4 linked regions of the Schizosaccharomyces pombe genome follow. The gene in region 2 interacts genetically with the main gene of each other region. Each region holds a gene or a part of one and is shown on either strand. Other genes may lie near its edges. The genes, in order: ptc3, wis1, sds23 and isp6.

The links.
Region 1: of wis1 (region 2) and ptc3, a mutation in one rescues a mutant of the other (synthetic rescue), as found in Schizosaccharomyces pombe (one study listed by BioGRID).
Region 3: of wis1 (region 2) and sds23, extra expression of one is lethal in a mutant of the other (dosage lethality), as found in Schizosaccharomyces pombe (one study listed by BioGRID).
Region 4: of wis1 (region 2) and isp6, changing one enhances a phenotype caused by changing the other (phenotypic enhancement), as found in Schizosaccharomyces pombe (one study listed by BioGRID).

What each region holds. Positions count from the first base shown.
Region 1 is NC_003424.3:818,937-824,599, reverse strand, and holds ptc3 (protein phosphatase PP2C catalytic subunit Ptc3), read left to right. Parts: upstream 1-2,815; 5' UTR 2,816-2,895; coding exon 2,896-3,223; intron 3,224-3,471; exon of another isoform or gene 3,472-3,481; coding exon 3,482-3,555; exon of another isoform or gene 3,556-3,594; coding exon 3,595-4,437; 3' UTR 4,438-4,832; downstream 4,833-5,663. Other genes in the region: SPOM_SPAC2G11.09 (Ca(2+) transporter), read right to left, coding at 1-706, 816-861; smn1 (SMN complex subunit Smn1/Gem1), read left to right, coding at 1,751-2,111, 2,171-2,268; AAA family ATPase Vps4, read right to left, coding at 4,950-5,625. UniProt on the Schizosaccharomyces pombe protein: Dephosphorylating regulator for many key proteins. Has an important role in osmotic stability and cell shape control. It may negatively regulate the osmosensing signal transmitted through wis1 map kinase.
Region 2 is NC_003423.3:1,143,231-1,149,801, reverse strand, and holds wis1 (MAP kinase kinase Wis1), read left to right. Parts: upstream 1-3,198; 5' UTR 3,199-4,017; coding exon 4,018-5,835; 3' UTR 5,836-6,071; downstream 6,072-6,571. Other genes in the region: ubiquitin hydrolase Uch2, read right to left, coding at 6,529-6,571. UniProt on the Schizosaccharomyces pombe protein: Dosage-dependent regulator of mitosis with serine/ threonine protein kinase activity. May play a role in the integration of nutritional sensing with the control over entry into mitosis. It may interact with cdc25, wee1 and win1. May activate sty1.
Region 3 is NC_003423.3:947,909-953,129, forward strand, and holds sds23 (protein sds23), read left to right. Parts: upstream 1-2,868; 5' UTR 2,869-2,915; intron 2,916-2,971; 5' UTR 2,972-2,972; coding exon 2,973-4,199; 3' UTR 4,200-4,384; downstream 4,385-5,221. Other genes in the region: origin recognition complex subunit Orc5, read right to left, coding at 4,908-5,221.
Region 4 is NC_003424.3:2,541,980-2,547,842, forward strand, and holds isp6 (vacuolar serine protease Isp6), read left to right. Parts: upstream 1-2,862; 5' UTR 2,863-3,370; coding exon 3,371-4,774; 3' UTR 4,775-5,002; downstream 5,003-5,863. Other genes in the region: mitochondrial serine/threonine protein phosphatase PP2C catalytic subunit Ptc4, read right to left, coding at 1-459; Myo3-like myosin II heavy chain myp2, read right to left, coding at 5,372-5,863.

The sequences.
Region 1 (5,663 bases), on a different chromosome or scaffold from region 2:
TCCGTTGAACAAAGTTCATTAGGTAAACCAGATATAAAAACGGTTCTGTCCGTCAATCTATTTTGACGAGCCAGATATGATTGACGAATGTCAGCAATCGATTTTGTTGAGGAAAAAAGAACATAAAGAAGAAAAATGGAAATAAAGTAAGTAAAAAGAACGTAAAGATAGAGAAATCCATCACCAGGCTGTGGAAGACCTGGTATATCAGATAAATTACCAATTGGATTAAATAAAGAAGGTCCTAACACACCAACATTTAACTCACTACCATTAGCAATAATAGGAGATTGTACAATTGACTTCTTGACAAGTGGACTTGAGAAGAAATATTCAGATTTGGCAGGCATCGACAAAGTAATATTCCCGAATGCATCTCCACGAAAATGCTTATTGACGGGCATAATAATCAAAACGCCAAGCAGGGAAGCAAAAGAAAGGAATTTTATACCCATTTTAAAAAACAATAAAAAAACGTAGCCGTCCAAACCAGCACAATTTTGCACTACATCATCAGGGATGTTTACTAAATCCATTAACCATTTGTAGTACGATGAAGAAAGTGTAGGTAAATTGAGACCTTCAATGGTAGTTCTAGGGGCATATAGTACTTTCCATCTTTTACGAAAGAAGCAAAAGAATACGCATGCAGAGGCTCCAAGTAAAAAGGCGAGCCAAAATTGAGTTCTTAAATCGCTCGATGGATCTGTTTTCAGCGATGAATCTCGAATCTGTAGGAATTAACACCCGCAGATCGAAGATTCAAACAACGTTAGCAATTTTGTTACAAATGAGGGAAGGATAGGTATACTTACTTTTTCTAGGATCACTGTCGAAAATACCATATCCATTGAAAGCCATTATTGCAAAGTAGCAAACTTAAGGGTCCTTTCGTCAAATTATCGAGGAATGAATGAACGATCGTTTCAGAAAATCGAGAACAAGAAAAATCTGATCTATCCAAGTATTATATGCATGTAAAAAGTAACGGAAAAAGGAAATTATCAAAAGATACACTATTGAAATATGTTATGATAGTTTTTCATGAACGAAAATCTTTAAAATATGAATGTATGTAGAGGAGGGATAGTAGAACGATACTCATCCAATACCCATTCGCATGGTCTTTCAGAATGCGATATGTACTTAACGTAAATTAAGATGACGATGCATAAAAATATGTAACGTAATTACGTGGAGCTACCTTAAATTCAATTAGGTAGTTTAAAATCTATCCCAGAAAGCTAACTTACTGAGAAGTCCTCGCTAAACCATATTAGCGCATGTAGCATTTAATGAATTATTCGTGTGGATATTAGATAACTGATTTAGGTTGATTTTTGTAGCTTATACAATTCCTTTTTCTTTTTGGTATAATAAAGCCAAAATCGTAAACAAAGATGAATTGGAATAAACATTCTTTCACAATACTTCCACGAGTTCACATCGCCATGTGCGAACCTCGTTATATCTTTGACCTCGAATTCTTGTAGTCCTGTCCACTAAGGCGGCTGATAGTTAAGGCAAGGAGCTAAGTTACCACAGCAGATTATAATTGTTGTAGTAAGCGGAATCGCCGAGCTCAAACTGTTTATCGTTATACGCGTTGTGCTTTATAAACAATATTTTCACTTTAATAATATTCAATTAATATAAGAGTTAACAAAGTTGGAAACTACTTGTTAATAAAGCTTTCTTAAGGTACAAAGAAAGACATACAGGAATAGATTATCTACAACTTGTACCAAAAATGGACCAGAGCCAAAAAGAAGTGTGGGATGATTCAGAGCTCAGAAATGCCTTTGAAACCGCTTTACATGAATTCAAAAAGTATCATAGTATTGAAGCAAAGGGAGGAGTATCGGACCCGGATTCTAGGCTAGATGGTGAAAAATTAATTTCAGCTGCACGGACAGAAGAATCAATAAGTAAGCTAGAAGAAGGTGAGCAGATGATAAATCAGCAAACAGAGACGACATTGGAAGGAGATACACATATCCAACAGTTTGCAGATAATAAAGGCCTTAGCGACGAAAAGCCTGAAACAAGGGCAGCAGAGACACATCAAGAGTTTATGGAAGTTCCTCCCCCTATAAGAGGGTTAACATATGGTAAGTAAAAGGTCTTCTAAGAAAATTTATGACTCTCTATTATTAACATAATGATTTAGACGAGACTTACAAAAAGCTTATCATGAGCTGGTACTATGCGGGCTACTATACAGGTTTAGCTGAAGGACTTGCTAAAAGTGAGCAACGTAAAGATTAGCTTCTTGTGCTATTTTTCAAAGTTATGTATATCTTCATTGTTGATGTTGTTATAAAACTGTTATCCTACTTGCTATTGCTAAGATTTATTACTCCTATCAAATAGTTCTATTTCAATTTTCTTTCTAATAAGTAGAATTTATTTGGTCATTTATTAAATCCAATGGAATTTTTAATTGAATCAAAATAATATCATTTTTGCCTAATAGAAATTTTTTCTGAATCAAGTTGCTGAATTTGTTGGGGCATTCTACTCAGCGTTGTTTTTGTCTCTATTGTAGTCATAGTAAAATGCAAACCATTGAAAAATCAATTTATAGGATATGCTATGTTTACACATGTTTTTTAATGAACATTTGAAATTTATAAGTATTTAGTCCTTGATACCATTTATTCTGTTGTTTACATATATGCCTTGACTACTGCTAATCTTGTTACCTTCCATAGTCTTTTAACAACTATCGTTCGTCTCCACGGTGGTGATGTAGTTGTAGAGGGTGCCACAACACTCCCTCCGACAAGCTCCACCACCTACTAGCGATTTACCTATCACTACTACATAACCCGTTTTGAAGCGACACAAAAAGAAAACGTGAAAATTTGTGTCATCTATTAGCAAGAGCTGTCAATGGGTCAGACATTATCAGAGCCAGTCACCGAGAAGCACTCGGTGAACGGGAGCAATGAGTTCGTCCTTTATGGACTTTCAAGCATGCAAGGATGGCGTATCTCAATGGAAGATGCTCATTCTGCTATACTTTCAATGGAGTGCTCTGCAGTAAAAGACCCGGTCGACTTTTTTGCGGTTTATGACGGCCACGGTGGAGACAAAGTCGCGAAATGGTGTGGAAGCAATCTTCCTCAGATTCTTGAAAAGAATCCTGATTTTCAGAAAGGCGATTTTGTTAATGCTTTGAAATCTTCATTTTTAAATGCTGATAAAGCTATTTTGGATGGTAAGTTTGTTGTTAACAATGATAAAGTTGTTTTCATTGATATCATAACCATTTTAAAGTCGCCAAAAAATTGATGAATTTTGTGTTTGAAATTTTTATAGATTTTTTGTTCTTTTGTCTAGTTAATGCTTAGAAAAATTGTTACCAAGATAATAGAAATGTTTACCTCTTGATGTTGAAAAGTTGTTACATTTAGTTTGGTTTCAGAAAAAAAATTTGTCATTTCACTACATTGCATTTTGCTAACTATTTTGACAGATGATCAATTTCATACGGATCCATCAGGTTGCACGGCCACTGTTGTTCTTCGTGTTGGAAATAAACTTTATTGTGTAAGTCTTGGAAGTTGTTTAGTCTTACTAATTGTGTAGGCTAATGCCGGTGACTCAAGAACTGTCCTTGGCAGTAAGGGAATTGCAAAACCTCTATCAGCAGACCATAAGCCTTCAAATGAAGCCGAAAAAGCCCGTATTTGTGCGGCTGGTGGCTTTGTAGACTTTGGCCGTGTAAATGGAAATTTGGCTTTGTCAAGAGCTATCGGTGATTTTGAGTTCAAAAACAGTAATTTAGAACCAGAAAAACAAATAGTTACTGCCTTACCGGATGTTGTTGTACATGAGATTACTGACGATGATGAATTCGTCGTACTCGCTTGTGATGGTATTTGGGATTGCAAGACTTCGCAGCAAGTGATCGAGTTTGTTAGACGTGGCATAGTTGCTGGAACCTCTCTTGAGAAGATTGCTGAAAATTTAATGGATAACTGCATAGCCAGTGACACCGAAACTACCGGCCTTGGTTGTGACAACATGACTGTTTGTATAGTTGCCTTATTGCAAGAAAACGATAAATCAGCATGGTATAAGAAGATTGCAGATAGAGTTGCCGCTAACGACGGACCCTGCGCTCCTCCTGAGTATGCCGAAAATCATGGCCCAGGATGGCGTAGTGGCGATAACAATAAGAAAGTTATTGTCCCACCTAATTTTCATCAAGTAAAGTTAAATGGATCTGATGGATATGACAAAGATGCGAATGAAAATTCTAAGGAAGATGATTCCACCAACGGATCCCTTGCAGCTGGGTTCAGATGGAAAGAACACTTTTTCCCTCATAAAGCCGAGGAGGAAAATTCTTCAAGTGAAACCGATATCGTAAATTCTAACAAAGATGTTGCGGATGATCATAAGGAGGCTGTGTCTGCAGCAGATTGATTATTCCCTACTTCACGCATATTACACAATGTAACTTGCTTTTAGGAATATTCCTCGTAATTAGCATTATTTGTTGACTTATTATAAAAGTCACGCTAGGCGGTTTTGTTTCAACATTTTTTCATGCTTTTCTTTTGTTGTTCGTATAATACGTGCCTGCGACGTATACCGATTACCTCCGAGAATGAAAAGGTTTTTGGTACGTTGCTACTTTGCACTTTTTGATAGCATGCGATTTCTATATCAATTTTGTCGAATACTGTCTTTTATAATCCTGATTCAAAATCAGTTAAGATTATGGAAAATATTTCTCTGGCATGAGTAAACATACCCAGACTAATTTCCGATTGCCCTAATAGATATTGTCGAAGCAATATACATTCCCTTCAATATTCTACTAGTTCCATAATTTACTAAAGTGATTCAACATTTGTGAGTGTAGTCATGATATTATACTTCTTTACAATAATGGTATCATTAAACTAAGCGAAAATAGCTCCTTTATCATATTACTATCCCTCTGCTCCAAAGTCCTTTGTAAATTGTGTGTGCTTTTCTATATCACCAGCATTAAGCGTAGGCTTGACTTTACGAACTGCACTGTAGAAATCTCGAACAGTAAGTTTTGGTTCCATAATGTCTTCAGGATTCACCTCTAGCCAACTAGATTCAAATGCATCAGGATCACCAGGAGAACAAGGAGTTACAAGGGTCCTATTAGACTTGTTATCATATACCTCTTTGAAATGGGTAGCTGTGTGAATTCGTCTTACAGGCTCCATTATTGCATCACGAACAACAATAGAAATATCTGAACCCGAGTAGCCATCGGTCATTTTAGCAAGTTCTTTGAAATCTTGTGAGGTCAGTTCCGAAGGTATTTTACCGACATTAAGCTCGAACATCCGAGCGCGGGCATGAGCATTAGGCAGGGGAATGTAAATACGCTTTTCGAAACGTCGGCGAATAGCAGAATCAAGAGTCCAAGGAATATTCGTGGCACCCAGAACCAGAACTCCACTTTCATCCTTTCCAACTCCATTCATTTGTACCAAAAATTCTGTCTTAATCCTTCGAGAAGATTCACTCTCACCTTCGCTTCTGCTTCCGCACAGTGAATCGATTTCATCAATGAAAATGATAGATGGTTTTTGTTCACGCGCCATTTCAAAAAGTTGACGAACAAGCCTATAATGTTAGTCATGTAAATATTAAAGAGTAAATAG
Region 2 (6,571 bases):
GAAAGCAATTCATCCTTCCCTTTCCTTTTACAACGCTTTCACACACTTTACTTTACACTTACTTAGTAGTAGTACAAGGTTTGTTGTATTGCGCACTCGCGTGCTAACGAAAGCTAAAGAGGTCGATCCTACTGCTTTTTCGGCGGCACTAAATGTGCATGCGAAAAAATGGGCTGCAGTGGCTGCGGCATCGGCAGTTATTCTTCGGTACTTGTAGCCGGTATGTGAAGGTGTGAAGGTGTTTTGGAGTACAGGTGCAGATTGGACCAGAAAAATCATCAGGTAACATAAACATGGCATGGCATGGCATTTTGTTAGTCGGCAAAGCAATTTGGCCATGCAGCAATAGTATATGAGAAATAAACAAAATGTATTTGTATCGCCGAGCTCCTTTCCTTACGTTATTGTGCGAAAAACGATGCAAGCTTTGTCGGCAGTATTTCTCACTGTAGCGATACTGAGTGGGACGGTGTAAAATTGTGGAATGGGTATATGCTTTCTTTCATTATAATGCTTGTTCTATTGTACGTGCTATAGCTTTAGGGGAGAGGAATGAGGTTGTAATGGAGATGGAAAAGGGAAGAGGAATGAATGGTTGGAAATGGCTATAAAATGTTAGTAGTGGAAAAACACAAATCAATCACCTAAATTTTACAGACATGTTTGTCGCAGTACTAGATATTGTCGAATTTCCCTTTTTTTTATTCTTCACTTTCTCTCATTTTCCACATACAGGCAGACAAAGATCATCGCACAGTTTGATAAAGGTGCTAATCTTTCGCTTCCAGCAACACTGCATCACAAAAATGTCAAAAATGAATATTAGAAAAGGCAATAATAAAATCCTATATGAATCTACATTGAATGTCAATAATAAGTTGTTTATGAATGCCAATAATAAGCTCCTACATGAATGTAAATAATATACTTGTTTATAAATGTCAATATACGCTTCTATATCAATGTCAATCCATTTCAAACGTTTCTGTCAAAACATTTTTTAACAAGCTATCGTTACAATACCTTATAGCACCTTTCACTTTATGCTACAACCCTCCTACGACAATAACTAATACTGCTTCTCGCTCCTGTACTCCATTATATTGCTGCTCTTGTACTCGCGCATTGCACCATATCATTATACTTGATTACAATAAACTCGATTACCATTCCTACAACCTTACTAAACTAATAAACCCCAATTGCATATTCCAGTGCATGTCGCTATCGATTCATCGCTCATGTTACTTTCTTTTTACAGATCAAGGTAACGAACCGCTTCTTTACCGATCGCCATGTTTACTTGTTGGTCTTTGAACGATGGAAAATGTCTTTCTGCAAATAATCAGTCATCTTTTCACGCTTTTCTTTCTCTACTCAGTGTATTATAAGCGCTACCCTTTTATTCATTCTAACTATCAAAGAATTCCTTTTTCCTTTCCCCAAAAAACAACTACCATTCGTATGTACAGTCGTCTTAGTCTACTATTGTATGGTATGTGGCATACGCAGCCGTGGGTGCCAGCCAGCAACCATACCAAGTCAAAAATTTCTCTTATAGCAAATCAATTCTTCATTCAATTCAAATAATGTAAAAAAAAACGCATCTATAGAAACATACGATGAAACTTTTTAAATACAAACTAATAATGAAAATACTCGCAGACTAACAATGAAAATACTCCAAAATCTAATAAAGAATTAGCAATTTGGCATTTCATGAAACCGTAAAGCGTCAAACGAAATGAAATCTAATAAAATTAATAAAATTAAAATAAAATGCCTTCTTCTTCTTCTCAGTTTCATCGTATGATTTTCTCTTTTAATTTCTTCATTTTATTCCACTTTCCTTCTCTTCTTTAGTTTTTCCTCATTTTTGGATGTTGGGAATACAGCCTCTTTCTATCTAGTTTCATCTTCAGCCTTTTTCACCACATGTTCAATCATTCGACTCTTTCTGTATTCTTCTATCTCAATTGAACATTATTGAGTCTGTTTTAATGAAAATTTTTTTTGTCTTCCCTTGATGTTGGCGCAAAACTAGACGTTCCAAATTTTTTCTCATTAATAAAGGATTATCCTCAAATCGTTTTTATAGCCCCCTTTCTACTTTGTTCGAGCATACACCGTACATTATGCATTTGCATATAGATGGAGTGATCTAGGAACTTTTGTAAATTTTTTTCTCTTTGCTTGTTTTTCCTTCCTACGAAAGTTCTACCCCTTCGTTGCACTTTTCACTTCAGTGTCTTTTTCCATAGAACAAAATGTTCCTAGCAGTTTTGCTGCTACTCTTACATTATTTTTGTGTGTTTCCTTAAACAAAAGAAATTTAAAAAAATTAGAAAAAAAAAAAAAATTTAAAAATAAATAAATTTTTTTTTACGCTGCTTCTAGAGCACAAATAACACACTCTCTTCATTCCACTTGCTGAACCTTTTAACGATTATTAAAAAATGTTTTATTATACATTACTACACCTTTTCGAAACACTTGTGCGTTAACTCGCTTTTTTTTATCGCTCTCAAGGACGGAAGCTACTAGGTTAGTTATATTTCTCTTATTTATTTGGTTATACATTTTACCTTGGATCATGATTTTTCTTAGTATACATTGACATTCGAATACCAGCTTTGAAACTTAAAGCCCTATGCACCTAATCATTAATTATTTTTGTTTTTATTTATTTATTCTTTATTCTTTTCTAATCAAACACTACCATATCTATCGGACAATTCAATTCCTTCTGTCAAGACCGATAAATCGTTGTGTTTATCTTCCATTAAAATATTTTTCGGCCCTTTTTTTTTCTGTTTTTCTTTACTTCTATGTATTATTCTCTATACGTTGAGCATTTTACCCAATCATCCTGTGCTTTCCCATTAATCCATCGAGGTATTTCTTACCAGCTATTTCTGCCGTACATTCTTTCCATTTGCATATAAATCTCAGGATACCTTGTTAGAAATCTTGTCGAATGATTCATACAGGTCGTTACGCTTATACGGAGATCTGCAGCATATTATTTGGCTTCACGTTATTTTGATTTTACAAATTTGATTGTATCCCTTAACCATCCCTTGTTTTGATGAAACATTTTTTTATCCACGTTATCCTTATATACTGATACGTAAGCTAACGTGCAAAAGTTTCTCCTTAAGATTAAGCAACGTGTTGTCTGACTTTCGTTATCCTTTTATCCTTCACCAACTCCATCCCATTCCACCTTCTTGTATACCCAAACATACCCCAGCCGGCTGGCGATAGCTGGGATTCCTAATCTCTCAAGCATTCCCTTTCGACGTGTATATCTTATTTACATCGTACCGACTACACTTCCTATTTTATCACCCTCCCTAAATTTTCCCATTTCCTTTAAAGAGCAGAATTTTTTTTGCTCTTTACTGTAAGAGAAAAGCGTTTCTGAATTTTTTCTCTTCCTTCCACACCCTTACGTGTTATCTTTTAGAAAGATAATTTCAAATTTCTTTCCTTTTTATTTCGTGTTTGTGAATTATTACTTTTTCTCCTTACCTTTGCCTCCTTACTCGTCGGTCATAACTCGGTTTTAAAGTATTGACTTCTCGGACTAAGATTAACCCACACCTTTTTACTTTTTTTTCTTTAGTTCTCCTTGGGAAATTTATTATCTAAGCCCCTGTTTCTTCCAGTTTCTGGCTTTTGCTGTTAAATTTAAACCCTTCCAAACCTCCTTTTTTTCCGTGGCATTTACCTACACAAAGCTACTCGTAGGTGATTGCCTTTAAACTTCCTTTTTTTTTCTTGGAATATCCTTCCTGCGGACTTTTTAGACCACCGCTTTTTTTTTCCTTCTTCGTCGGAGACGACTCGTAATTGATTGTCTAATTTTAATTGTTCTTTTCACCCAAGATACCTTTTTTGTATTGCCATCTCACTTTCGTTCATCTTCACTTTTGCTTCATTTATATTACCGGAATTTAGTTTACCTAATTTTTTTTTCTTTTTTTTTAAGTTTGTGAAGCACATTTATTTTATATGTCTTCTCCAAATAATCAACCCTTGTCTTGCTCATTGAGACAGCTGTCTATTTCTCCTACCGCACCTCCCGGTGATGTTGGTACTCCCGGCTCGCTCCTTTCTCTTTCGTCTTCAAGTTCTTCAAACACCGATTCTTCTGGTTCTTCCTTGGGTTCCTTGTCTTTAAATTCTAACAGTAGTGGCAGTGACAATGACTCAAAGGTTTCTTCTCCTAGTCGTGAAATACCTTCCGATCCCCCTCTTCCCCGTGCCGTGCCTACGGTCAGACTTGGCAGATCTACGTCCAGTCGGAGTCGTAACTCTCTTAACCTTGACATGAAGGATCCTTCGGAAAAACCTAGACGTTCACTTCCTACAGCAGCTGGTCAGAACAATATTGGATCTCCTCCTACTCCACCGGGCCCATTTCCTGGAGGACTTTCAACTGATATACAGGAGAAATTGAAGGCCTTCCATGCATCTAGATCAAAATCAATGCCGGAAGTAGTCAACAAGATCAGTAGTCCAACTACCCCTATTGTCGGTATGGGTCAACGAGGAAGTTATCCTTTGCCTAACTCTCAACTTGCTGGTCGATTAAGTAATTCGCCCGTAAAGTCTCCGAATATGCCAGAGTCCGGGCTTGCAAAATCACTTGCTGCTGCTAGGAATCCTTTACTCAACCGTCCAACGTCCTTCAATCGACAAACGAGAATCCGTCGTGCACCACCTGGAAAACTCGATTTATCCAATTCCAATCCCACCAGCCCTGTCAGTCCGTCTAGCATGGCTTCTCGCCGTGGCCTAAACATTCCTCCCACCCTTAAACAGGCTGTTTCGGAAACCCCTTTTTCCACATTTTCGGATATTTTGGATGCAAAATCAGGCACCTTAAATTTTAAAAACAAAGCCGTGTTAAATTCAGAAGGTGTTAACTTTTCATCTGGCTCTTCGTTTCGTATTAATATGTCAGAGATTATTAAGCTTGAAGAACTTGGAAAAGGTAACTATGGTGTTGTGTATAAAGCATTGCATCAACCGACTGGTGTCACTATGGCCTTGAAGGAAATTAGGTTGTCCTTAGAAGAAGCAACATTTAATCAAATTATAATGGAATTGGATATTTTACATAAAGCAGTTAGTCCTTATATCGTTGACTTTTATGGTGCCTTTTTTGTGGAAGGTTCTGTTTTTATTTGTATGGAATATATGGATGCTGGTAGCATGGACAAACTGTATGCTGGTGGTATCAAAGACGAAGGAGTTTTAGCTAGAACTGCTTATGCTGTAGTGCAAGGCCTCAAAACTTTGAAAGAGGAGCATAATATCATTCATCGTGACGTTAAACCTACTAATGTTTTGGTAAATTCTAATGGCCAGGTTAAGTTATGTGACTTTGGCGTGAGTGGGAATCTTGTGGCTTCTATATCCAAAACGAACATTGGATGTCAATCTTACATGGCTCCTGAAAGAATTCGTGTTGGTGGACCTACCAATGGCGTCTTGACTTACACCGTACAGGCTGATGTGTGGTCTCTAGGCCTTACCATTTTAGAAATGGCTTTAGGAGCTTATCCGTATCCACCTGAATCATATACTTCAATATTTGCACAACTATCGGCGATTTGCGATGGCGATCCACCTTCTCTCCCCGATTCATTTTCTCCCGAAGCTCGTGATTTTGTAAACAAGTGTTTGAATAAAAACCCGTCTTTGCGTCCCGATTATCATGAGTTGGCTAACCATCCATGGTTGTTAAAATATCAAAATGCAGATGTGGACATGGCTTCATGGGCAAAAGGCGCTCTTAAAGAGAAAGGTGAAAAAAGAAGCTAAAGGTTCGCCTGCTTTCTAATTGCCTGCTCTGTTTTAAAGTACCCATGCGCATTGGTGTTTGTCTTTAATTTCGAATGCATGACTATTACGTGATCCATAATTATGTTTCAGCAGAACCGACGCTATTTTGCATTTGTGCTTTTTCATAAATTTAATAATTTGGGTATGATTCCGTATAACGGTAGTTGATGTTTGCATTTTTGCTTTAAATTAAAACGGGTATTTAATGTGTTATTACATTTGTTTAAGGCATTTACGTCCACCATAAAAAACTTTTTTTTTATTTAACTAAGGGGCTTTAGAAGTGCAAACGAAAGTTTGCAATTGTAAAAGTTACTTGTACTGTATTAATTTATTTCTTTTAAAACTTCGTTGACTGGCTCCGTCGTTTTAGCTACTATGATCTCCTGTTTCCTACAATGGTGATTACTTAGAGAGATTGAATCCATCGTAAATGCAAGTGTTAATAGATATTATATCGACCTAATAATAATTACTTAAACTATTAATATATTACTCAAAGAGATTTGAGGTATTCATTTATTTAAAAAGTACGAGACTTTTATATATCAAAGAAACAAATTCTCCCAACATAAGTCCAACAAGGTAATCTAGAGTCATAACAGATTTTTATCCTGGAAATGAAAATTCCTTCATAGTGGAATATTTTTTGAGAAAGAACGCCGTAATATATTACGGTCGCTTTTGAGATGCGTATTTCGCTTTTGCAGTTTCA
Region 3 (5,221 bases), 190 kb from region 2:
AAGGTAGATGTATATGTATGTGAAAATAAGTAATGCTTTGTAGATGGAATAATATATATAAATATTTAATATTTATATATTTTTAAACAAAAATTAATAACTGGCTTGCTGAAGCAGCAACAAAATAAAGATGAGAAAAATTAAAAATTTTCAAGAAAAGATACTCGAGAAATTAAGATTATTATGTTGTGATATGAGATATCAGAAAAAACAAGGATGCTTGTTTAATTTTATAGTCTTTAAAAGCGTCTTTGAGGATTTCTGTATGTACGAAGTCTTGGGTAGAAAGGCCGACCAAAGGGTAGCGACTATAAGCGATGTAAGGTTTAATGATGTGGAAAAAAAAAATGCCGACTTAGTGAAAGTAAATATGTTACAATACAAAGTGGTGAATTAAAAAAAAAAAAAAAAAAGAGAGAGAAATGTAGAAATTTTATACATGAGAATATGTTAAACAAAGGACAAAATCTAATAATGTCTGCTTAAGACTGGTAGGTACATGTCATAGAAATAATTTACAACGTATATCAATTAATTCAATTGAGAGAATATCTAGTACGAAACGTTAAGTGCTTGTTTAATATGCGCCTGAAGTTTTTGTTTGGCTTGAGCTTTGTTTACATAGCAAGGACAAGACAGAAGCTATTATGGTATTTAGTGGAAATTCATTGTTTAATAAAGTGCGCAGCATTATATCAGATTTCCAACGTATTTTAATATTCGATAATGTATTAATGATCAATTAAAGAAACTCTAACTAATTTTTCAATTGGTAATTCGTTATTTGTAATGATTCATTTATAGATTTATTTTATTTTTTTTTATTTTTTTTTTAATTTTTTTTTTACACTAAGCTACTGGCAGTTTGTACGTTAAGCAAATACAAAGTCGCACGTGGGTGTTTTACCAAAAAGAATTGCGAGTGAATAGGATAAAATGGACGATGAATTTGTAGATTTTTTTTACTACAATTAATCAATGAAAGGAGTAAAAATTTAAAAAAAAAAAATAAAAAATAAATAAAAAATAAAATTAAATAAAGGACAAGATGAAAACTTATTATATGAATTATGGATTTACTTTATTTTATGCTCTTACAAACCGTAACTGGACTGCTGGAATTTCTTCTACTAGATGAGCGTCTATTTGTGTCCTATATATTTAAATTTTATTTTCTCAAATTACATATATATATCAATATGTTATTTCGATTATTTTCGATTTTAATTTTGATATTTTGGAAATTCACTTTATCTTCTACATAATCGCATTTCCTATATCAATCATCATCATCATTTGGACATCTTGGATCCGCTAATTATAGTAACGTTGTATTTTCACTTCATATATCACACTTTACCATTTAACTTTCTTATGGTACGTCGAGTGAGACACAATCGATACCTTGTGTTCTTCAATAGCTATTCCCACAGCACATGAGTCTTTTTACGTAACCCAATAACCTCTTCCCCGGAGTGATCTGTAGCGGACCATTTACTCAATATTGAAACTTTTTAATTACCACGTTGAATCACAAATTGCCAACAAAACACAAGCGCTTTATTTATTAAACGCATCTGACGTTTCAGTATGTGAATTTCTATTACTAGTAGTATGGTATTTTGTCGCACTTCAAATTTGGCCACCGTTACTATATGAGACGAAGCAATACGTAGCAGTAATGTATTTAGTACTCATTTATCAATGAAAAAGATCAAAACAAGAGATTAACTGAGTGATATTCAATAGGATTTGCTAAGTGAAGAGATGATCAAACATTTAATGCTGACTTGGTCATCTCCAACCTATATTACATAGATTTGATTTCTCCATGTTTGGGGAGAGAAATTAGACGAAGGGGTGGATTTTCATTCGTTTCTTCGACAAATAAGTCTTGAGCAAAAGTCCACTCAAAATTCGAATGATGTATAGCGCTATAGCAGTGGTAGAAATATCTGTTGTTTATGATTGCCAATTTTGCTAAGCAATGGTAATGATGATCATCTGTGTAAGTACTATGTATAATAATTAGAGAACTGAGTACCCAATATTATAGCATGCATTATTATGCTTACAGTACGAGATTACTCTCAAACTAACTAATAAAATTAATTACTTGATGACTTGACTTATCTATTCTCCTGCCAAATTATCAAACAACATAAAGAGTAAATTTTAATTTTTTTTTCAAGATTGGGTAGATGCTGTTCGGTATCGCAACGTTGAATTATGTATGTTTCATACTGCGTCTTAATATTATTTAGTACATATGAATGTGTTGACTTTGTTCATCCATAACTCTAATTCAAAAGCATTTTTAACAAACAAAGCGCTTTATTGCTCCATAGGCGCGCCTCGTTTCATCTAATCACTTCATCGTTGCACACAAATTTTTGTTTGCCTTTTTGCAATGACAAAATTAGGATTTTGTTGTGCAAAACCGACCTACACTGCATCTACAACTAGAGCAGCTGCCCCACTTTCCCACTTTATGAACAAGGAAAAACGTCCGATTAACCGCTTGGCTATTTTTCTCTCATACTAAATCCATCCTTATGTTTAATTTTAATTTTTAAATTTTTAAAAAAGAATAAAAATTTTTTTGCCTAGTTTTACCTTGCTGGGATGAAAGCGGGCAAGCAATGAAATAGTGGTTGATTGTGATGTAAATACTGAAATCGCAGATTATGAAATTTTTAACTAGGCCACATACATGGTGGATTAATTAGGTAGACGGTGGTATACGGCGGGATTTACAGAGATCTCAGTCTAATGTGGTAAAGAGGTCGTGGATTAAAAAAGCCTTACCACTGCGTACCCCTATTTCGTTGTATCACTAGGTACTTCCGTCACTGCCTACCTCAACGCTATCCAGAACCACACACTGACCTAGATTTGACAAACTGCACGGTACAGTAAGTTTTGTTGTATGCAGAGGAAAGAAAGAGATTTTAACTGGAAAACTGTATAGAATGCCTTTGTCAACTCAATCGTCTGATTCTTTATCGAGCGCTGGACGTCAGTCCTTTGGCGTGAACTCGGTCTCAGATTTTTTGGCACAATTTCCCATTCCCACTAATCTTCCTTCAAATAAATGGCAAGATATCCCTGTAACATTTCTTCATGATAATGAAATTGCTCTCATAGACCCGGAAACTTCCATGGAAGAGGCAAGTTCCATTTTGATCGACCGAGATCTTAGCGCCTTGCCTATTGTTGCTGCTAAGGGAAGCAACGAGATTGCTACGACCTTTGACTATGCAGATCTTAACTCATTTTTGCTCATGGTAGTGGGTTTTGATGATTTCAATGATGGCAGGTTTAAAAAGGTCGCTGAAGATATTCGTGCTGGAAAAGTCATTACTGCTTATGAGGTTGCAAAACTCGGGAAAAACAAGGATGACTTTATCACCATCCCTCACACCACCAGCCTTGGACGTCTCGCTGAGATTCTTTCTTCCGGTATTCGTCGTGTTGCCGTCACTAACGAACAGGGTGAATTGAGCTTTATGGCTTCTCAGCGCTCTATCATCCGCTTTTTGTGGAATAATATTCGTGCGTTTCCCGATTTGGAGCCTCTAATGTCCAGGACAATTCACTCTTTGGACATTGGAAGCACTGACATCACCTGTATCTCTGGAGATCAAAAAGTCGCCGCGGCCTTGCGACAGATGAATCAAACCGGTATTGGTTCACTTGCTGTTGTCGATGCTCAATTCCGGTTACTTGGCAACATATCTCTCGTTGATGTTAAATACGTTACACGTTCTTCTTCTGTCTATTTGTTAAACAAATCATGTGCTCACTTTTTGAGTGTCATTAAAAGCGAACAGGGTATCCGCGCTGGTAAGGATAGTGCTCCTGCTTTTAACATCTATGAATCCTCTACTTTTGCTTTTACGTTGGCTAAGTTGGTGGCTACCCAATGTCATCGTCTTTGGCTTGTGCAGTCACCTTCCTGCCCTCCTTCCCCAAAAAATAACGCACATCTTTCCCCTGGATCCATGGGTGGTGTTAAGGTCAATCAATTGTTGGGCGTTGTTAGCTTAACTGATATCATATCTGTTTTATATGCTCACATGAAAGGCACTCTTCCACCCGCTCCCCATAGTGCTCCTTCGCTTAGACATGGACGTCGAGGAAGCACAAGCAGCCATCGTAGCCATAGCAAAGCTAGTGTAGATACACAACGTCGGTGATGCTAAATATTTGATGATTTGAAACACCCTTTTTTCTTTTTCTCATTTGAACCTCCGTTTTATTTCATCTTTTACTGTTACCTCTAACATTCCATATTTCATGAACGGGTTTTGATACTTATTTTTAATCATCTTTAAATGGATAAGATTTTGGTTAAATCTCCAATGATTTCTTATTAACCATTAAAAATATACTTTTACTTATGTTTTGACGTTAACTGACGGACGCTTTTCTTTATACATATGTTCTTATTAATGAATTGTCTCCCGTTGTTGATTTACACGGCAGCAGAGTAGCTCTTTCAGAGGGTTAACTTTTATATCAGAGTTATGATTGAAACTTTGCCTCTTGATATATATTATGTATCCATCTTAGCAGCACATTACTTTATTTTTTTGTCAAGAGTGTTTTCGGCGCTAGTTTTTGCTTTTTACAGCTTTGCCAACTTCCATAATGTTAAATACGTAACAGTTTACACAGAATCACAGAGGCGTAATCGAATTGTTTGTAGTGTACATTTTCTTTTATTTTCCAGAAGTAACAAAAAAAAATATGTTTTTTAAGTTTTGGGCCCTTTAAACAGTAAAATAACATGTTATGGGGAGATAGAATGGATGTTCATATAGTTCTGTATAAATTAATGAATTGTGACAGAACTACGATATTCAAAATTTCAGTAATGCAATAAAATAAACCATAATACTAAGCTATCCCGCCAAATAACTATCGAGAGGAAACGAAAGTGAATCTGCGATTTTTAATACATATTCGCGAGAGACATTGACAATGTATCTAGGGCTATCCAAAGAGCGAAGCACACCTTTGGAAGCCGAAAGTATCATTTTTAAGGAGGCGAGTGTAGCTATTTGAACAAAAACATCAGCGGTCAGAACTTTCTCTACCGGGGAAGAAATGGCATAATAAATAGCAATCAACCTTTCTACTTCAAAAGGTTTAGGTCCTAATGTAAGTTGGGATATTTTTACAGCAGACCGGCCTTTGCTCCCAGCGGTTCTTGGTA
Region 4 (5,863 bases), on a different chromosome or scaffold from region 2:
CAGATCTTCGTCCCTAGATTGAAGAACAGTGCGCAAAGAAAATGGAGGCTTTAGACCCGCCATGTATCCACCCACGGAATGGACTTCCTTCAGGATTTTCTCTGTATCATTTAAATCTTGATTTTCAATAATCTTCCCCAAGTTGGTGGAAAGAAACTCACTACACTCAGTACCTCCGTGACCGTCGAAAAGCCCGTAGAAAAAAGGACTATCTCTGTTAGTAGTATCTTTTAGGTTATTTAAGTAGCCGTAAGCCATACGGTCTTGATTTGTCGGCGAATCTCCTCTAGCGGTACATAATCCAAGACTCTGAGGTGCTTTGTTCATACTTATCTTCAGGTAGGGACCATTGGAGGGACTATAATACTGAATAAAGGATCGATAGAAATAGTTTTTTGAGCAATAGGCATTTTGAATATATAGAGGTGCCCGTAAACGTTTAAGAAAACGGATCGACATGTATTAATGGAGAAGGATTCTCAAACGTGAATCGCTTGAGATGGTAACTTCGCGGCGTGCAAAACAAACCGTGCAAGAAACCGGTAATTTCTAGTAAATTTTGCTAAAAAAAGATTAATGATCAAAGGATTAGAGGAAAGAAAGTTTTCTTTCCTACAGATATTGAAGCTTCCAGACGCTTTGCTTGAAAGCCGAGGTAAATTTCCAGTTTAAGGCTAACTCGAAATACCAAATAACAGGGGATTTTAAAAAGAGTTCAGCATACACCAACAAGGAGAAAGTCTTACACGATTCTATACAAGCGGTGTAAAGCATATAGTGTGTTAAAACGAACCCTGTAATACTATGCAAACAAATGCGTTAAAGCACGATAAAAGAAGTTAAGGAAGATATGTAATGAAAGGAAGGCTGTGAGCATTGTAGGGATAGTTCGTTTGATGAGCATGTCTTTATTTCATTTTCGTTAATATTTCAATTTTTTTTGGTTGGTTTGAGGGGGTGGATTCTACCAACCACTTTCATTTTTCCTATCCAAATATGTTTTTTACTTTTCTATCTTATTTTTTCACTATAGCACATTAGCACTCTAGATTATATTGCTTTGTTAGAGCAAAACAGATGGAGTATATAGCTTATCGACGACAATTCAATTCAATTCAATCCAACCATCAGAGAAATCTGACTATGTTACTCTTTAGTTTATTCCTAATAAGCGCTGCTTGAATAAAGTGATAAGTGCAACAGCTCCGATGATGGCAAGATATTTAGCGATTAGAGATTGTTTCGTTTCCAAAGTACCAAGTACTTATAACGAAATATATACAAAAGCTCCCAAATTCAAAATTGCTGGGTGTACGGCGCCACCAAAATACAGAACCGTCATTCATTTGTTCCAATATAACGCCATTGTTCTCTGTATTGTTTGCTAATTGTTTCAACTTGTTGAACTATTAGTGATGGTCTAGTCCAAACGACACCTGGAATGAGAGCGCATTGATGAAAGAGCTTCAACACAGCGCCCAATCTCTCTTACTGTGGGAATCTCAAACATTGTCAATGTTGTCACATGTTGTTTGTTCGTATACAAAGAAATGCAAATGCCATCCACGCATTCTGTTCATCATTAAAACTCTTTGATTAAATCCCTTGTACTGCATTAAATTTCATGGCTGCATAGAAGAAAAGTTACATAGGAAAGAGCCAGCGATTGCTACGAATACTCGCTCGATCTCACTCCACAGGCTGTTTCTTTAACAATTTATATAAGAATATACAAATAAGTAAAGTTTCATAGAAAAGAAGAAATGGATTTTATAGTGAAAATGGGGAATTTTAAAGTCCCTCATTGCTTCATCTAGCAACTCTTTCTTATATACAATAACCGAAATACGATGCATCGGTAATTAACTGTTTACGCACACACAATCTCTCAATCTTCTCTCCTCTAAAATAAATGTCTCCAACCAATTTGTTGATAAAGATAGAATGGCTGTTGTAATGTAGCAAACACTTATCAGGGGATGGATGGATGGATGGATGTTTTTCATCAAGCACTTGTTTACATGAGTGGGCGTTAGCTGAACACCGAGAGTCATGTTCATTCAATTGTGCTAGTGTTTTATAATTTATTTGTTTTCGTTTCAGTTTACTGTTTGTGTAGAATGAATACTAGTCATGAAAGGAAAGAATAAACCTTTCTGAAAATGAAATGACATTGAGTGCATATTGTTGAATATGGATATGCTGTTGCTTCCATACATTTGGAAATTTTGCAAACCTCTTTTTTTATGTATGTCCCGATCAATGTGTGTATCCGTGGATTACCAAGTTATCAGTGAATCGGCTTCCGTTCCTCCATATCTTTGAATTGCTCTTTTTTCTGCCCTAAGCAGCGCAATGCGCATGAAGCGTTATCATTCAATGTACCGAACAGAGTGGCAGTTGAGTGGCCCTTACCAATCCGGCCTTTCAAAGTTTATCTAAGAACCACTTGTTTGAGCTTATCGACCAATCACAGGCAATGGATCACCGTTCCTCCACTAACCACCTCGTATCGCTAGATTAGAGGGGTGACGTCAAGTGAACATATCGTGACTCGTTAAGTCAGCCAAGTAACGAATTGCGAAAGGGAGGGCGCGCTTGAGAAAGTGCTAATACAGCGATGCATGCAGAACAGTGGCATTTGACGAATAATCAAGGGAGAAAGCAGAGAAGTAAATGAACAGAATTTTTTTAAAAAAAATTATATTACAATTGAATTGAATGGATTTGGAATTGAGTTTTGCCTGCTTTTTTACGGAATCTCTGCTTCTATCTGTCCAAACTCCCTTTGTTGATGTTCGAGGGTTAGGGTACGGGTGGTGGATAGACTATATAAACGAAAGAGGTAGCCCCCATTGAGTCGTGTATCAGTACGCTCCTCGTTACAAAGTCAAACGTCTTAGAACAAGTTGCATTGGAATTGAATTTACCAGTGCCACTAGTTTTGATTTTGTTTCATTCACAGTCGTTTTTTTTCGCTTTGTGTTTTTCATTTGCTTGCAATTTTTTATTTTATTAAAGTAATTGTTAGAGAATTATTATAGTTTCTTTCTCCCTTTCTTTATAATAACTCTTAATCCCATTGTTCGCCCATATACTACTTACTATAGTTTGTATATAGCCCACAATTCTTTTTTTTTTTCTTTTATTCATCTCTCTCGATTTCTTCCTATCTGAACTTGGGATAGATAGTTAGTTTTTCAATAGTCTTTGTCATCTGTTTTCCTTGTCTTTCTTTCATAAGTAAACACGGAACAACGATACTTGCCTACTGTTCAGCAATCTCAGCAATTTAACCGCCTTCAATCACTACCCCAACCACAATCACAATCACTTCCCCCTCCAACAGCCTCGTCTTCTCAGCATCAACATGAGAATTCCTTATTCAAATCTTTTTTCTGCCGCCGCAGGTTTGGCCCTCTTCGCTTCTACTGCCTGTGCTGCACCAGTGATGCCAGCGACTGATTCGGACATTGCCCATGCTGGTATCCGTCCTGAGCTCGATAACGCTTTCTACGACTCCCACGGCGAAGCCGCTACCCCTAAGCACAAACCTCATGCTGGTCCTAATGCCGCTCCTCTCTTGTCTGCTTCCAACGCCGATACCACTGGACTGGACTCTCACTATATCATTGTTTTGCAGCCTGATTTGAGCGAACAAGAATTCCAAGCCCATACTAATTGGGTCTCGGAGATGCACCAAATGGACATTGCTTCTCAAGAAGATGAGTACTACGATACTAGTGATAGTAATTACATGTTTGGCTTGAAGCATGTTTATGACTTTGGCGAGGACTCTTTCAAAGGTTATTCTGGTCAATTCAGCTCTAACATTGTTGAGCAAATTCGCTTGCATCCTCATGTCATCGCCGTCGAGCGTGATCAAGTTGTCAGCATTAAGAAACTTGAAACTCAAAGTGGCGCTCCTTGGGGACTTGCTCGCATCTCTCACAAATCCGTCAAATACGATGATATTGGCAAATATGTTTACGATTCCAGCGCTGGTGACAACATCACCGCTTATGTTGTAGATACCGGTGTAAGCATTCATCATGTTGAGTTCGAAGGTCGCGCTTCTTGGGGTGCAACCATTCCCTCTGGTGATGTTGATGAGGATAACAATGGTCATGGTACGCATGTTGCTGGTACCATTGCTAGCCGTGCTTATGGTGTTGCAAAGAAGGCTGAAATCGTTGCTGTCAAGGTTCTCCGTTCCAGTGGATCTGGTACCATGGCTGATGTGATTGCCGGTGTTGAGTGGACTGTTCGTCATCACAAATCGTCCGGCAAGAAAACCTCTGTTGGCAACATGTCTCTTGGTGGCGGCAACAGCTTTGTTTTGGATATGGCTGTTGATTCTGCCGTTACCAACGGTGTTATTTATGCCGTTGCTGCTGGAAATGAGTATGATGACGCTTGCTATTCATCTCCTGCTGCTTCTAAGAAAGCCATCACCGTTGGCGCTTCCACTATAAACGACCAAATGGCCTACTTCTCTAACTATGGTAGCTGTGTTGACATCTTCGCTCCTGGACTTAACATTTTGTCTACATGGATCGGTTCAAATACTAGTACTAACACCATCTCTGGTACTTCTATGGCAACCCCTCATGTTGCAGGTTTGTCCGCTTACTACCTTGGCCTACACCCTGCTGCCAGCGCTAGCGAAGTTAAAGATGCTATCATTAAGATGGGTATTCACGATGTACTCTTGTCTATTCCTGTTGGTAGCAGCACTATTAACCTTCTCGCTTTCAATGGTGCTCAAGAATAGATTTTACTTCATGTTGGATGCATTCGATGTTTTCAATAAGTCGGTGTTTGATTTTCAATACATCGAGTAATTGTTTTATTTTTTTGAAAACGTTTGCTCCTTTTATGATTGTTCTTTACAAACAGTTTATAATGATTGTTATGACAATAAATATTTTATAATGCAAGCCACTGAATCACGTTTAGAATTTTTATACTTGAATGAAATTTTTTTGTGATGTTCTTCCAACTTACAATGTTAAAGTGTAATTGTAAATGTCCTCTTCTTTTATTTGTATTTGTATTTATATTTGTGCCGCTGTTATGCAAGAGCTCTTCTACATTTAATATCGCCGCCTATCTCTTCATAGTTTTCTTTTACAATGTGATTGCTGCATATAACCATTGTACAAATAATAGGGGTAAAATAAAAAGTAAACCGAACTAAAATGCCTTTTACTTGACCGACTTACTTTTTTTTTTGAACTAAAGTATCCTTGTGGTTACTTGTTACGTTGACGCAGAGCATAATAATAGTAATAATAAAATAATTTTAAATTCATGAACTAATAATTTACATCATCTTAAAAAATACATGTCGAGTCTTTGGGAAGCTTGGCTACCTTAGAACGCTAGGCGAACGATTGGACCTCATGGATAATCTACTTTCACTTCTCTTTACTCTTTGACCCTCCAGCAAAGATCTATATTTATCAAAATCGGTTTCCAAACTTTTGACGCGTTCACGCTCTTCTTGAAGAGCATGTTCCGTCCGACGTAGTGCAAATTTCCATTGTGTTTCTGAAGCTTGCACATCTTCTAATTGATTTCTCAGTTGCGCATTTCTTTCCTCCAAACGAGAAACTGAGCTCTGTATTCTCTTTTTATCATCATCAAATTTTGATATTTGAGCTTCCAGTTGACGGATAGTCCTATCGCGATTGCGACATTCATCAATTCCTTTAATTCGTTCGATGTCGGAAGCAGCAAACGATGCTTCCAAATCTGATATTTGCTTTTGTAGCATTCGGACGTCCTTTGATGTTGATATGGGATAAGTTTTAAGATCTAAATCAAACAATTTGAGCTCCAAATCCTTTTTCTCCTTTTG